Linked DNA regions of Cricetulus griseus. The protein of the gene in region 1 purifies or fractionates together with the protein of each later gene. This does not show direct contact. Links are inferred from orthologs where the notes say so. Each region holds a gene or a part of one and is shown in the gene's direction. Other genes may lie near its edges.

Region 1 (5,625 bases):
TCAGATGGGTCCCCCTGCCTCAATTACCTTACCTAGGAACTCTCTCACAAACAGTGGTTTGTCTACTAGGTGATTTAAACCCTGTCAAATCAGCATCGCAGTAAGATTTGGCATTAGGGTTATAAGATTTAAACTTTGGCAAGATTTTCTTTTTCTAATTTTGGTTTTTGAAGACAGGGTTTCACCAAGTAACAGCTCTGGCTGTCCTGGAACTCTGTAGACCAGGCTGGCCTCGAACTCACAGATATGCCAGCCTCTGCCTCCTGAGTGCTATTATTAAAGGTGTGTGCCACCACCGCCCAGGGTCAAGGTTTTATAGTAAGCTCCGAAGTCTGCTTTTGTTGATTCTGCCATGAAGAGATAAGCAACTGAGCATTATTAGGACTCCAAAGTTTGGATTAAATGCCCAGTGCTACTCTATGCCCTTTCACTCATTTGCATGGGCAAAAGAGGGCTTAGTAAGATCAGGGGAGAGAATGCGGGACCAATCTAAGACATCTGGGGCACCAGGGGGTGAATATGATCAAAATGCAGTAATAAAACCTGTTATTATGTATACTACTAAAATGTTAAAACTCCTCTTCCCGGAGGGTCATTCACTGGACTTTGTCTCTTTTGCTTCTGTTCTTTATGGCTCCCACTGCCCAACATATAAGTCCCTTGCACTAATCAAGGATGTGGGCTCCTGCCTCAGAGCCTTCTTAGGCATCTAATCCCTTTCGTATTCATGTGTGACTTTGCGTTTGTATAGATGACTCAACTAACACCCAGCCTTTCTTGGAACCTGGAACATAAAACCCTAACCTTTGAGCAGGTCTTCAAATATCACACCACACCCCACCCCAGCCATTAGATTGATTGCAGATTTCCTTGATGTCTCTTGCTAGGACTATCGTCATTCTTATTATTTGCTATTTATTTGATAGGTAGCCCAGTTTGGCCTTGGGTTCACCAAATAGCCTGGGCTGTCCTCAAACTCATGACATAAAGATTTGTATATGTTGGTGGCACAGTCCCAGCTACTCAAGAGGTTGAGGCAGAGAGAGAGATTCTGTTTCAAACAAACAAATGAACAACAAAAAAAAAAAAAAGAAGGAAGAAAAGGAGGAGGGGAGGCAAGATAGGAGAAAGTCGTCGGTGTTATAACTGAGTGGAAGGGACCTTGCCTAGCATGTGCCATCCCCAGCACTGCAAACCCAAAACAAAACCAAAAACCACGTTCACGGGAAAGGGGGAAGCAGTTTATAGGAAAAGAAAGCATATTCGTGGGACCAGGAGTGAGGAGAGAGGAAATGGATAGAAGGAAGCATGAAGGAGATTTCTGGAGGTGAAAAATGTCCCATACATTGGTTATGACATTAGGCGTGGGTTGCGATGTGTGTATGCACTCTTTCAAAATTCATGAGTGTATATTGTTAAAGACAGTGTTCACTGCACAGAAAAATATCCCAATAAAGTTTGTTTTTGGGTTTTTTTTTTTTTTTTTTTTTTTGGTTTTTCAAGACAGGGTTTCTCTGTGTAGCTTTGGAGCCTATCCTGGCACTCGCTCTGTAGTCCAGGCTGGCCTCGAACTCACAGAGATCCGCCTGCCTCTGCCTCCCGAGTGCTGGGATTAAAGGTGTGCACCACCACCGCCCGGCGCCCAGGCTCAAATTTCATATCCTAGCAGATGTCCGCTCCTTGCTTCTTCTCTTCCTCCCTTTCCTGAACACTGGTCATATTAAGCACACCGCGATCTAAAATGCGCTTAGGTGTTTCGCCCTTCTCTGCTTGCCTGCTTGGCTTGTAATATTTCTGCGAGCCTCTCTCCCCTCTTGGCTCCATTTCACCGATACAGAAGTCTATCACAGAAAGTTCTTGTTTGCACTCCTGTTTTGTCTCCCCAGCCCCTTAGGGGTTAGGATTAGGCTGTGAGCGTGACACCTGGACCTTATCATTACCCTTAACGTGGGTGCCCAGGCACCGCCCCTCCAGCCCTGCAGGTGGCGCTGTGGCAGCCGCATCCTCTCCGGGCTCCCGACTTCTCTTTGCGGAGGCCCCGCCCCCGGCGGCAACGCCTCCTGCCCATTGGGCCGGCGCGGCGGAGGCTGGCCAATGGCGCGGCCGCTGGTGGGCGTCCCCCTTCGTGCGGCCGGAGCGCTGCGCCGTGGGCGGTTGCAGGAGGGCGCGGGCTGCCGGTGAGACTGCGGTTTCCCTCCGTGGCCGCCGCCGCCGCCGCGCCGCCGCGATGCCTCAGTTCCAGACCTGGGAGGAGTTCAGCCGCGCGGCCGAGAAGCTCTACCTCGCCGACCCCATGAAGGTGAGTGGCGGGCGGCGGCCCCGAGGCGGGGTCTTCTCTGCCTCTGGCGCGGCGTCCGCACATCCCGGAAGCGGCGTCTGCCCTCGAGCCTCGGTGCGCCTCCCGTCGCCTTCCGTCGGCCTCGGGACCCAGCGAGGCTGCGGCCGTGTGCCCGGGCAGAGCCTCCTCCGCGGCGGGCCCTGCGGTGGCCTCACCCGCGGGAACTCCTGACTTCCGCAGTGGCTTTGGTCGGTGGACGTGTCGCTGAGGCTGGGGCTCCTCCCCCTGCACCTTCTCTTTCCTGTCCGTCACTTATTTCGGTGCCCCTGTCCCTTCCTGGAAAGGCGCGAGGGTTCCTGCTGTTTATAAAATGGAGCTAATGTTACACCGCCACTCAGCCTTGGAAGCACATTGGGGAGCACCTGCCCCCATTCCCCAGGGTGACGGGGATTCTTAGTCTTTTCTGTGGGTCAGTGGTCGTTTTCAAGTCTTAAGAGTGCATGCACTTACACCCCAGGCACAAGTGTTTGCAAATTGTTTCATTCTCCAAAGCGAATCTCCCCAGTTCAGAATAGGTCCTATGAGAGACACACACAGGTAAATGCCACTATTCCTTGAGGATTGTACGGTGTCCGAGTGTATTGTGAATGTACCCACTGGAGGAAAAAGAAAATGAGGAGCTGTTAACAGTAGACTCGGGGTCATTTCTAATGACCAGCATATAACACAAACTGTTTTTAAAGCTAGTTGTTAAGAGTTTGGGGAGATGCTCAGCATACAGAGTTCACATAAGGAGGTAAAGAAAGAACCGACTCCCCAAAGTTGTCCTCTAGACACACACACACACACACACACACACACACAGTGATAAGTAAAAAATTTTAAAAATACATTGGTGCTGGCAATTTTTTCAAGTTTGGTTGTTTGTTCGAGACAAGGTTTCTCTGTGTAGCCCTGGCTGTCCTGGAAATTGCTCTGTAGGCCAGACTGGCCTTGAACTCAGAGATCCTACCTCTGCCTCCCAAGTGCTGGGATTAAAGGCATGCACCACCACCATCTGGCTGGTGCTGGCAACTTGTGACAGCAGAACTTACTACAACGGCCCCCCCCACCATCTTTTAAAAAGATTAATTCATTAACTTTTTAAAAAAAGATTTTATTTACTTATTTATTATGTATACAACATTCTGCTTCCATATACATCTGCACACCAGAAGAGGGCACCAGATATCATAACGGATGGTTGTGAGCCACCATGTGGTTGCTGGGAATTGAACTCAGGACCTCTGGAAGAGTAGCCTGTGCTCTTAACCGCTGAGCCATCTCTCCAGCTCCTAATTCATTAACTTTTATATGTACAGTGTTGTACAGTAGGTACATCCTGTTCATGCATGGTGCCTGCTGAGGTCAGAAGAGGGTATCTGGAGTTAGGGATAGTTGTGAGCCACCCATCATGTGAGTACTGGGAACCAAATTTGTGTCCAACTGCAGCAAGATAAGTTGCTGTTATAAATGGTCTTTGGTCCAAGAAGGGAATGGTGGTGCACACCTGTAAGCCCAGCATTCAGGAAGCTGAAGAAAGAAGAGGGAATTTGAGGTCGGATTAGGCTACACAATGAGATCCTGTCTGAAGGCGCAGTGGAGGAACCATAGGACCTGAATAGACAGTAGAACATTTTGATCCATTCTTGTTTATTTTTAAGACGTTCTCATCTCACGTAGCCCAGATTGGCCTCTTTAATTTACTGTGTAGCTGAGGATGATCTTAAAGTCTGGATCTTTCTAGTCTAACTTTTTTTTCTTTTTTTGCTTTCTGTATTTTTTGAGACGAGGTATTGCTTTGTTAAGCCCAAGTTGCCCTTGAATTGAAGGTCCTCTGCAGCAGCCTGAATGCTGGAATTATAGGTAAATACCACTATTCCTGACTTTTTGTGGTGCCATTTGTTCTAGTTTCGTTTCTGTAGCTGTGATGAAACACCTGACAAGCAGTACAGGGGAGGGAAAGGTTTCTTTGGCTTACTAAGTTAAAGGCACTTGAAACCACCATGTCCATAGTCCAAAGCAGAGAGAAAGAAACGGAACACCATGCTGCCTGCTGGCTTGTGCTCTCCTGAGTTCTTACTAGCTGGTTCTGCACAGACAGCTGAGGGCCCAGCCCACAGTTGATTGAATTTTCCCACCTCAGTGAAGCAGGCCTCCCCTACACGCCCACAGGCCAGCCTCATCAAGATAATCCTCTTCCAGCCTCCCTTCTAAGGTGATATTTAAAACTAATTATTCTGTTCCTCTTAAGTTGACGTAACAGTTCATCTGCTTTATGTAGAAAGTGATGATGAAGAGTGAAGTAAGTTGGATGCTTTTGAAATGGCGTCGCTTGGCAGTGCGGCCTCTGGTACTCCATCTGGGTCATCACCTTTCCCTTGTGTTGCCATTTGTTTGCCTTTTCTTCAGTTGAGCAACGTGCCTGATGATGGCAACAGTATACACTTTTTAATTTAGTAAAAGAATGGTAAAGAATATACCAGCACACAGAGTGTCTGTGACTGTATTTTTAAGAATACAGTAGTTGTAGGAAAAATGAAAATACAAGTGACAGAATTGTGGTGATGAAAACATGTTTAAAATAGACAGGAGAGGAGGAACCTTACATTTCCACCTAGGTAGAAAATTCTAGTGGCCTACAAACTTCTGCTTCCTTGTAGCCTTCTGTTAGTTTTTCACATTTTTTTGCCCAACTGGAGAGGGCTATAGAGCATGAACCATGTTCTGAGTTCCAAGATGGTGTTTGCTCTGAGAGCTTACAAACCCCAGTTCTGAACCTAGGCTCTCTGATCCATGTAGGGCTAAAGAAGACAGTTTGCCAGGTGTCTGAAATGTTTGCTAAGATTCTGCCCTCTCTCCCAGTGCATATAACATGGAGCCCATACATAGCTTCTCATCTTTACCACACTAACCTACCAGTGGACTGAAAAAGAGCCCTTAGTTGGGTCTAGCTTCCTTTTAGTCCCTCCTTCACATTTCTGCCACAGCTGCCTGAAAGTAGAGACACTGAAGTATCCTCTGCTTAAAACCAGCTCTTCAGATTACTGAGTAAAGTCCCAGCTCCCAGCCCACTGTCTTGACTCTGCTGTTCTGCCCGCCCCCCATAGTTCTCAGTTCTCGACTTGGTGAAGCCACAGAGTACATGGGATCTTTGTTCAGAACGCTGCTTGTGTTTTCTCCAGCCTTCTCGCCTTCTCTATAGGAAAGAAAACATGTATTTCTCAAAACTACCTCCTAAGAAAAGTGGCTCTTGCCCTTTCCCAGTGTAAACTTCTTTAGTATTTTTACCAGTACTTTTCTTTCTA
Region 2 (3,500 bases), on another chromosome or scaffold:
GCTGGATTGAAAGAGTATTTGGGAAATGTGGCAACGTGGTTTATATAAGTATTCCACATTACAAGTCTACTGGGGATCCTAAGGGATTTGCCTTTGTGGAGTTTGAAACAAAAGAACAAGCAGCAAAAGCCATTGAGGTACGTCTGTAGAACCCTGAAAATTAAAAAGAAAAAGATTAGTATGAATAAGTTTGCCATGATTTTTCCAATTTTCATTTCAGTTTCTTAACAACCCACCAGAAGAGGCACCAAGAAAACCTGGCATATTTCCTAAGACAGTGAAAAACAAACCCATCCCTTCCTTAAGAGTAGCTGGTGAGTACCCACCTAATTCTTAGGAGGTAAATATTGAATTGGTAGAATATAAAATTATTTGAACATTGCTGTTACAGAAGAGAAAAAGAAGAAGAAAAAGAAAAAAGGGAGAATAAAGAAGGAAGACAGTATGCAGGCCAAAGAGTTAAATATGGAGGACACAAGCGGCATGGGTGTGTGTAAAGGCAAGAGACCAAGGACTGCCTCTGAGGGCTCTGAAGCAGAAACTCCTGAAGCTCCAAAGCAACCTGCAAAGAAGAAGAAAAAACGGGAGAAGACTGAGCCGTCTGTCTTACCTGAAGTTAGAGCAGGGAAAAGGGAAAGAAGCAGTGCTGAGGATGAAGACTGCCAGACCCCCAGGCCAAAAGCCAAGAAGAGGGCGCAGAAAGATGGCATTAGCCAAGCCGCTTCTGAAATCTCCAAGGAAAGCAGAGGTACCATGTTGAAAACAGTGCAAACATTTTAGGTACTTCGCAAAGCACACAACTTGTCTTATGGCAAATCTTTTTTCTAGACTTAGAATTCTGCTCTACAGAGGAGGAGAAGGAGACAGGAGATAGAAAAGGTGACTCACTCCTAAAAGTAAAAAGAAAGCATAAGAAAAAACACAAGGAGAGACATAAAATGGGAGAAGAGGTTATACCGTTGAGAGTGCTGTCCAAGTAAGTACCAATTTTCAGTAGCAGTTGACAGAACTCCATCACCATTGCTAAAGTGCAATTCCAATTTCTATTTAACAGAGTTGCATATTAGCAACAGTGACGGCCTACGGTCCTTTGGCAATATAAAGATGATAAGTAGGAGCCACCACACTCAAACATGAAAGCACTTATTTTTATAAGGTCACAGCAAGTGCCTCCATGTTAAAGTAAAGGAGGCTCCTTAAGCAGCAATCAGTTAAGTCCTCTTAAAGGCTTGAGAATGGAAAAGGAAAGCTTACCATCACCAAAACATGGGAGCACTTACTTTCTTAATCCCAAAGCAAGTACATCCACGTTTAAGTAATGGGGAGCCCAGTCTTTACATTTACTAAGTTCTAGTCCTTAAAATGTAACATTTTTAAATTAAGGAAATGCTGAATGGGTTGAGACACCTCCACTGAAACATGGAAGCACTTACTTTAATTTAACACAGCAGGTATCCCCATGTTAAAGCAGAAGGGACTCCCAACGGGTTAGCTTATCAATGCTAAAGGTGTACATTGAATTCACTTCTACTAAAACTTGGAAGCACTTACTCTTTTTACAGTGAGACAGAAAGCACTCCCATGTTAAAGTTGAAGGGAACCCACCCACAAGGCAACTTCTTTGTAAAGCTAGGGTAACCTAGGAGGAAATTAAATGACAAATTACCTTTGTGAACTGGATCCCAAAGAATCTCCTTCTCTGCTTGGAGGGTAAAACACAGTGACTTTAGACCACTTGTATTTATACTACTCCTAACTCCTGAATTCCTTTTGGCGTCTTTATCTCAGAGAATCATTACAAGAGCCTTTGTTATTTTAATGTATCAGCATCAGCTCTCAGGGAAAGTAGATCCTGGGGATCCTGGGTAGGTCTGGATTTTTTTTTTTTTTTTTTTTTGAAGTAAACAGATGTCAATGTTAACTGCTAAAACCATTACCACAAGATACCCTTCTCTTTAAAAAAAAAAAAAAAAAAAAAAAACTCCTATCTGCTTGTTTGATGGCACAGATTAGGGTAACAATGAGCACTCCCACTGAGCCAGGAGATGCATTGTGCTTCTCTCTGGAGGAGCCCTGGCTGTTTGAAGAGACATCTACATGGTAAATGTATGTAAATAAATAAATTGCTACCATGGGGTGTTTTTTTCTTCTTAGAAATTCTTTTGATTCAAGTAAATCCTAAGGAATGTTATCTCTCAAATTGGAAGCAATTTAACAAATCTTTGAATTTTAGTTTCTCACTTTACCCCAAAGTTGCCTTATTTTGCTTTTACAATTAAAAATTTTAGAAACATATCAGGAACTTAACTGGGAAATTAAAGCATTTTACCTGAATATTTATGAAAAGGAACTTCATTTGTTTGTTTGCTAGATAGATTTACAGCCTAAAAACTAATTGAGTGCACCTTTTTAAAAGAAATGGGAATTTTTATGAACGTCTATTTCATTCACCTTCAGATTTCTCAATGAGTCATCTGGTCACTATTTCAGTAGTTCAATTTTTTGTTTTACAGGACTGAATGGATGGATTTGAAAAAAGAGTATTTGGCACTACAAAAAGCCAGTATGGCTTCTCTAAAAAAAACAATATCTCAAATAAAATTGGAGTCAGAAATGGAAACCGACTGTACAGTGCCCAACAAGTCTGGAGTGAAGAATGGAAAAGGTGAAGCTCACTTTCATAGCATTTAGTGTTATACTACACTGTGGACCCTGGGTGTAGGAGTGATAGACTGGATTCCCCAGTTTTGAACTGAACCATTACCAGAAAAAAAAAAATTTAAAGAAAGAAAAAAATTGAAGTGTTCATATTAAACAGTAGGCTTTTTAAGAGCCTGCTTACTCTCCATTACCAGCAAGTTACTCATGAGTGACTGGGCATAGTAATAAAGACTGCAGTTTTAGTAGAAGATGAACCCAGAACAGGGACATATTAGAGAATTATTATTGATTGTAACATTAGTAAAGGCTTTTTAGTTATAAATATTTTTATTTATTGTAGTTCATTTATTTATTTTACATCCCAGCCATAGCCTCCCCTCCATTCTCCTTTCCCAGTCCCTCCTCCCTATTCCCCAAATTATTACATTTGAATAGTATATTTTGAATATCCTTATATTTCTATTGACATCTATCTTTATTTGAATTTTATTCTTTGGTTCAGGGCAATAATGCATTTTATTTCCTATTAATTTCCAAATGAGCAGTTTGATGCATTAATATTAACATTACACAAGTTCTTTAAAGTCTGAGAAATCACTCCTGCTGTTGTAGAGTAGCTAGTGCTGCTCTGTTAAAGGTCAGGAGTGAGAAAATTTTTATCTGTAGCCTTTTCCTTTTCACAGTCAGCCATCCAGAATGCTGCACCCAGGAGAAGGTTAACAACCAAGGCCCACAATTCGTGAATGGAGTTATTGTGAAGATCATGAGCACAGAGCCTCTACCTGGCAGGAAACAAGTCAGGGTAATGTTTATGATGCCTGTGTAAAAACAAAACAAGA
Region 3 (3,500 bases), about 130 Mb from region 1:
TAGCTCACATCTAACACCAGCACTGTGGAAGCTGGTGGAGGATCTCTAAGAAGTACTCTGAGTAAGTTTGACACTGTTCTTCAACATGCAAAAATAGTAATGTCAACAGACTGGTGTCCAGGACGGAAGTGAGGAGACAGGGGGATAAATTTATTGGGTTTAAGGGTAAAACAATAACTCTTGTATTCTTAGTATTACGATTTATGGTACTGTATGTCTCTTAACTTTTGTATCTTTAGTGTGTGACTTTCTTGGAGAGAAGATTGCATCTGTTTTGGGCATCAGCACCCCAAAATACCAGTATGCCATTGATGAGTATTACCGGATGAAGAAGGAGGTGTGTCTCCTTTTCTCACTTTATTGATAGTTTGCCTGAGGCTTGATGAGCCCCACAGTGTGTGTGTGGACACTCTAGGAGCCCAAAAGGTAGCTCCTGTGGGTTTTTTTGTTTTTGTTTTGTTTTGTTTTGTTTTTTTGCAGTGTTAGGCATTAAACACAGGACCTTACACGTGCCAGAGGAGGGAATCCACCACTGAAGATAGCTTATTTAGTTTATTAAATTAACAGATTTTTAGAACTCTTCAAAATTCTGATTTCCTAAGGTAAATGTATAAAACCTATGCTAGGTTTTGTTTGTCAGTGCTAATAAGTGAGGCTTTTCATGTATATTAATTTGATCTTTATATACCGTTTGATATTGTCACTTTAAAAAATGAAGAATTATCACCCACCCTGTGTAAGTAATCAGGTAGTTACTGAGTTCCCCAAGCCTCAAATCCCTGTTGTCATGAAAACTGTATCTCCTCCTAGGGTTAGTGCATAAAATGCTCAGAACAGCACCTAGTGTACATTGGCAAGCACACAGTAAACCAGAGGGTTCAGTGAAACAGGAGCAGAGCAGGTCAGGTAAAGCCAAAAGAGGTATGAACACAGGATGTATGTTCACTCAGTAAGCAGCAAGCAGTTGTTGGAGGGCTATCCCTGGAGGTCAGCCTAGAAAGATCACCTTTATTCTGTTGTGTGGCTTCAAACATGTTTTTGTTTGTTTTGTTTTTTTTATATATACAGTGTTCTATTTGCATGTATGCCTGCACACCAGAAGAGGGCACCAGATCTCATTACAGATGGGTGTGAGCCACTGGGTGGTTGCTGGGTATTGAACTCAGGACCTCTTGAAGAGCAGGCAGTGCTCTTAACCTCTCTGAGCCATTTCTACAGCCCTCAAACATGTTTTCTGTTTTAAAACAAAAAACAAAACAAAAACCAACAAGAAAACACTGCGCCATGTTCGAGCCTCCTGAGCTTGTTCAGTCCACTTCAGAAGCTTCTGGAGTTTGTTCTATCTCAGGATAATCCTCCCAAGAGGTCACTCATTCTGTACTGACTTGTAAAAGGTGAAAGATTTATAGGATCTGAAGAGAAACCAGAGTATCTCTGTACTGACTTGTATCTCAGGGTCCAGATACAGTGCCACCTCCTCTATGAACTGAACAGTTTCTCGATGTGGTCTCTGTGCTGCCTCTCTCTGTATCTTAACTTCCATTTAGACTGCAAAGGTCTTGAGGGCAAGAACTGGATGATCTGTACCTTGATTAGATGCTTAGGGAAAAACTAACCATGCTATACCATCTAATGAATGAATCAGCCTGTTAACTAACTAGGATGACACCTTATAATTAAAGTGTCACAGTAGTTATACAAGTGTCATAGTTGCTAATTTGTTACTTTATTGGGTAAGTTAATTTAGCTAAGTAGTGCTGGGCCATCCACCTTTAACTATTTTACTTTGAGAATGGGAAAAGACAGTTTTGTTTTGGTGGTGGTAGTTCTTTCAATTCCCTCCCTCCCTCCCTCCCTCTCTCCCTCCCTGTGTGGTGCTAGGGATCAAACCTAGATCCTTATGTGTATATTAGACATGAACTTTACCACTGAGCTACACCCCCACCCCAGAAGTATTAGACATGACACTAAAGTTTGGTTTTTGAAGAAAAAGATGCTAATGAAAGAAGAAATTTGCTCCCTTTTGGACATTACTATTTTAACTACTGGCATTTCCAATTTTTCTTTTCTTTTTTTTTTTTTTTATTTTTAAGGAGGAAGAGGAAGAAGAAGAAAATAGGATGTCTGAAGAAGCAGAAAGACAGTACCAACAGAACAAGTTGCAGCCTGGTTCCATTGTACAGACAGATCAACCAGAAACGGTGGTGTCCAGTTCATTTGTGAACATAAATTTTGAAATGGAGGAAGACTGTGAAGTAATTAAGGAAAGCAAACAACAGCCAGCCTCTGTCCCCCCATAGAACGAAATGACTAAAAAGTGTCAAACCCTAAACGTCAATCAGGAACTTTTTACATTTTTGTTTAGTGGGACTTAAAACAGTTATTTATATTTTAAATTATTAAGGGAAAATCTTCATTCTTATGCTGTATCTATCACAGTCAGATCTAAAGTTGGGACGTTTTTATGATTAATTAGTGACCCCCCCCCCATGCTGGGGAGTAAAACCAGGACTTCTTTCACATACACTAACCAAGTACTCTATCACTAAGCTCCAGTGCTTTGATTTTAAAACAGTCTTTTATAAAACATAAGGACATTTAGCTAGGCATGATAACACACACTAGGGAGGCAGGGGCTGGCGGTACTGTGTCAATTCAATGCCCACCTGGTCAACATAGTAAGCTGCAGCCTAGCCAGTGAGATCCTGTTTCAACCCCAAAACTGAAAGCATTGTACATTAAAAGGGGAGTTAAATTGTTAAGATTTTTGGTTTTAGGGCATTTGTTTTAAAAAATAAAGGTAAGTATTGATTAGTCATCTTTGGAGCTGATAATCCTAATAGCTTCATGCCTTGCCTTCCTTGCATTTAACATACCTAACCAATACTTTTATACTAAGGATAGCTCAGATGGAAGCACTATGGATTTCCTTTTATTGAGAATATCTTATGGAAAGTGTTGAATGTTACTACTCTAAATATTAATATGGGCTTTCACTTTCACTACAAGTCACTCTTGTACTTTTCAGTAGCTAATAACTTGCTTTGATCACAAATTAACACTAGTTACTGAATTAATTTGTAGTTGTAGTCAGGTGTTGATCCCTAGTGGCTACCTACATGGCTGGCCCCTTGGATATATCATACGTACTCAGGCCTTTCTGCATCACAGGCAGAGTAGCTGGGAGATGAGGAATTGGTAACCATTTAGTTTTGTTCACCATTCTGAAGTCACAGCCTTAAGTTGGACAGTTGATATGAACCAGGTTTGGCCCTTTCTCTCCTTACTAGGTTATCCTAGTGTACTATGAATCTAATTTTAAGAAATATTCCTAAATATGTGTTCAGAACTTTGTCTGTATAGCTTTAATTTATAATCAAATGTGGATAAAGAGAAATGTGGACAATGTTTAGATGCTGATCTTTTAAAAGCCTCATAGCTTTGAGGAATTAACACTTACAAACTGGCCTTCTAAATAGCATGACACTTTCCCTCTTCAA

What was found.
Region 2: the proteins of Srp9 (region 1) and Larp7 purify together in Homo sapiens (affinity purification with mass spectrometry; 3 studies listed by BioGRID and IntAct, with this or other methods). This does not show direct contact. The link is inferred for Cricetulus griseus from reciprocal best matches to the Homo sapiens genes SRP9 and LARP7.
Region 3: the proteins of Srp9 (region 1) and Srp54 purify together in Homo sapiens (co-immunoprecipitation; 4 studies listed by BioGRID and IntAct, counting the BioPlex papers as one, with this or other methods). This does not show direct contact. The link is inferred for Cricetulus griseus from reciprocal best matches to the Homo sapiens genes SRP9 and SRP54.

What each region holds. Positions count from the first base shown.
Region 1 is NC_048598.1:12,258,703-12,264,327, reverse strand, and holds the start of Srp9 (signal recognition particle 9 kDa protein), read left to right. Parts: upstream 1-2,124; 5' UTR 2,125-2,227; coding exon 2,228-2,299; intron 2,300-5,625. UniProt on the Homo sapiens protein: Component of the signal recognition particle (SRP) complex, a ribonucleoprotein complex that mediates the cotranslational targeting of secretory and membrane proteins to the endoplasmic reticulum (ER).
Region 2 is NW_023276806.1:31,277,390-31,280,889, forward strand, and holds part of Larp7 (la-related protein 7), read left to right. Parts: coding exon 1-137; intron 138-220; coding exon 221-314; intron 315-391; coding exon 392-748; intron 749-828; coding exon 829-976; intron 977-2,513; coding exon 2,514-2,665; intron 2,666-3,344; coding exon 3,345-3,463; intron 3,464-3,500. UniProt on the Homo sapiens protein: RNA-binding protein that specifically binds distinct small nuclear RNA (snRNAs) and regulates their processing and function.
Region 3 is NC_048598.1:147,159,152-147,162,651, reverse strand, and holds part of Srp54 (signal recognition particle 54 kDa protein), read left to right. Parts: intron 1-239; coding exon 240-337; intron 338-2,093; coding exon 2,094-2,300; 3' UTR 2,301-3,500. UniProt on the Homo sapiens protein: Component of the signal recognition particle (SRP) complex, a ribonucleoprotein complex that mediates the cotranslational targeting of secretory and membrane proteins to the endoplasmic reticulum (ER).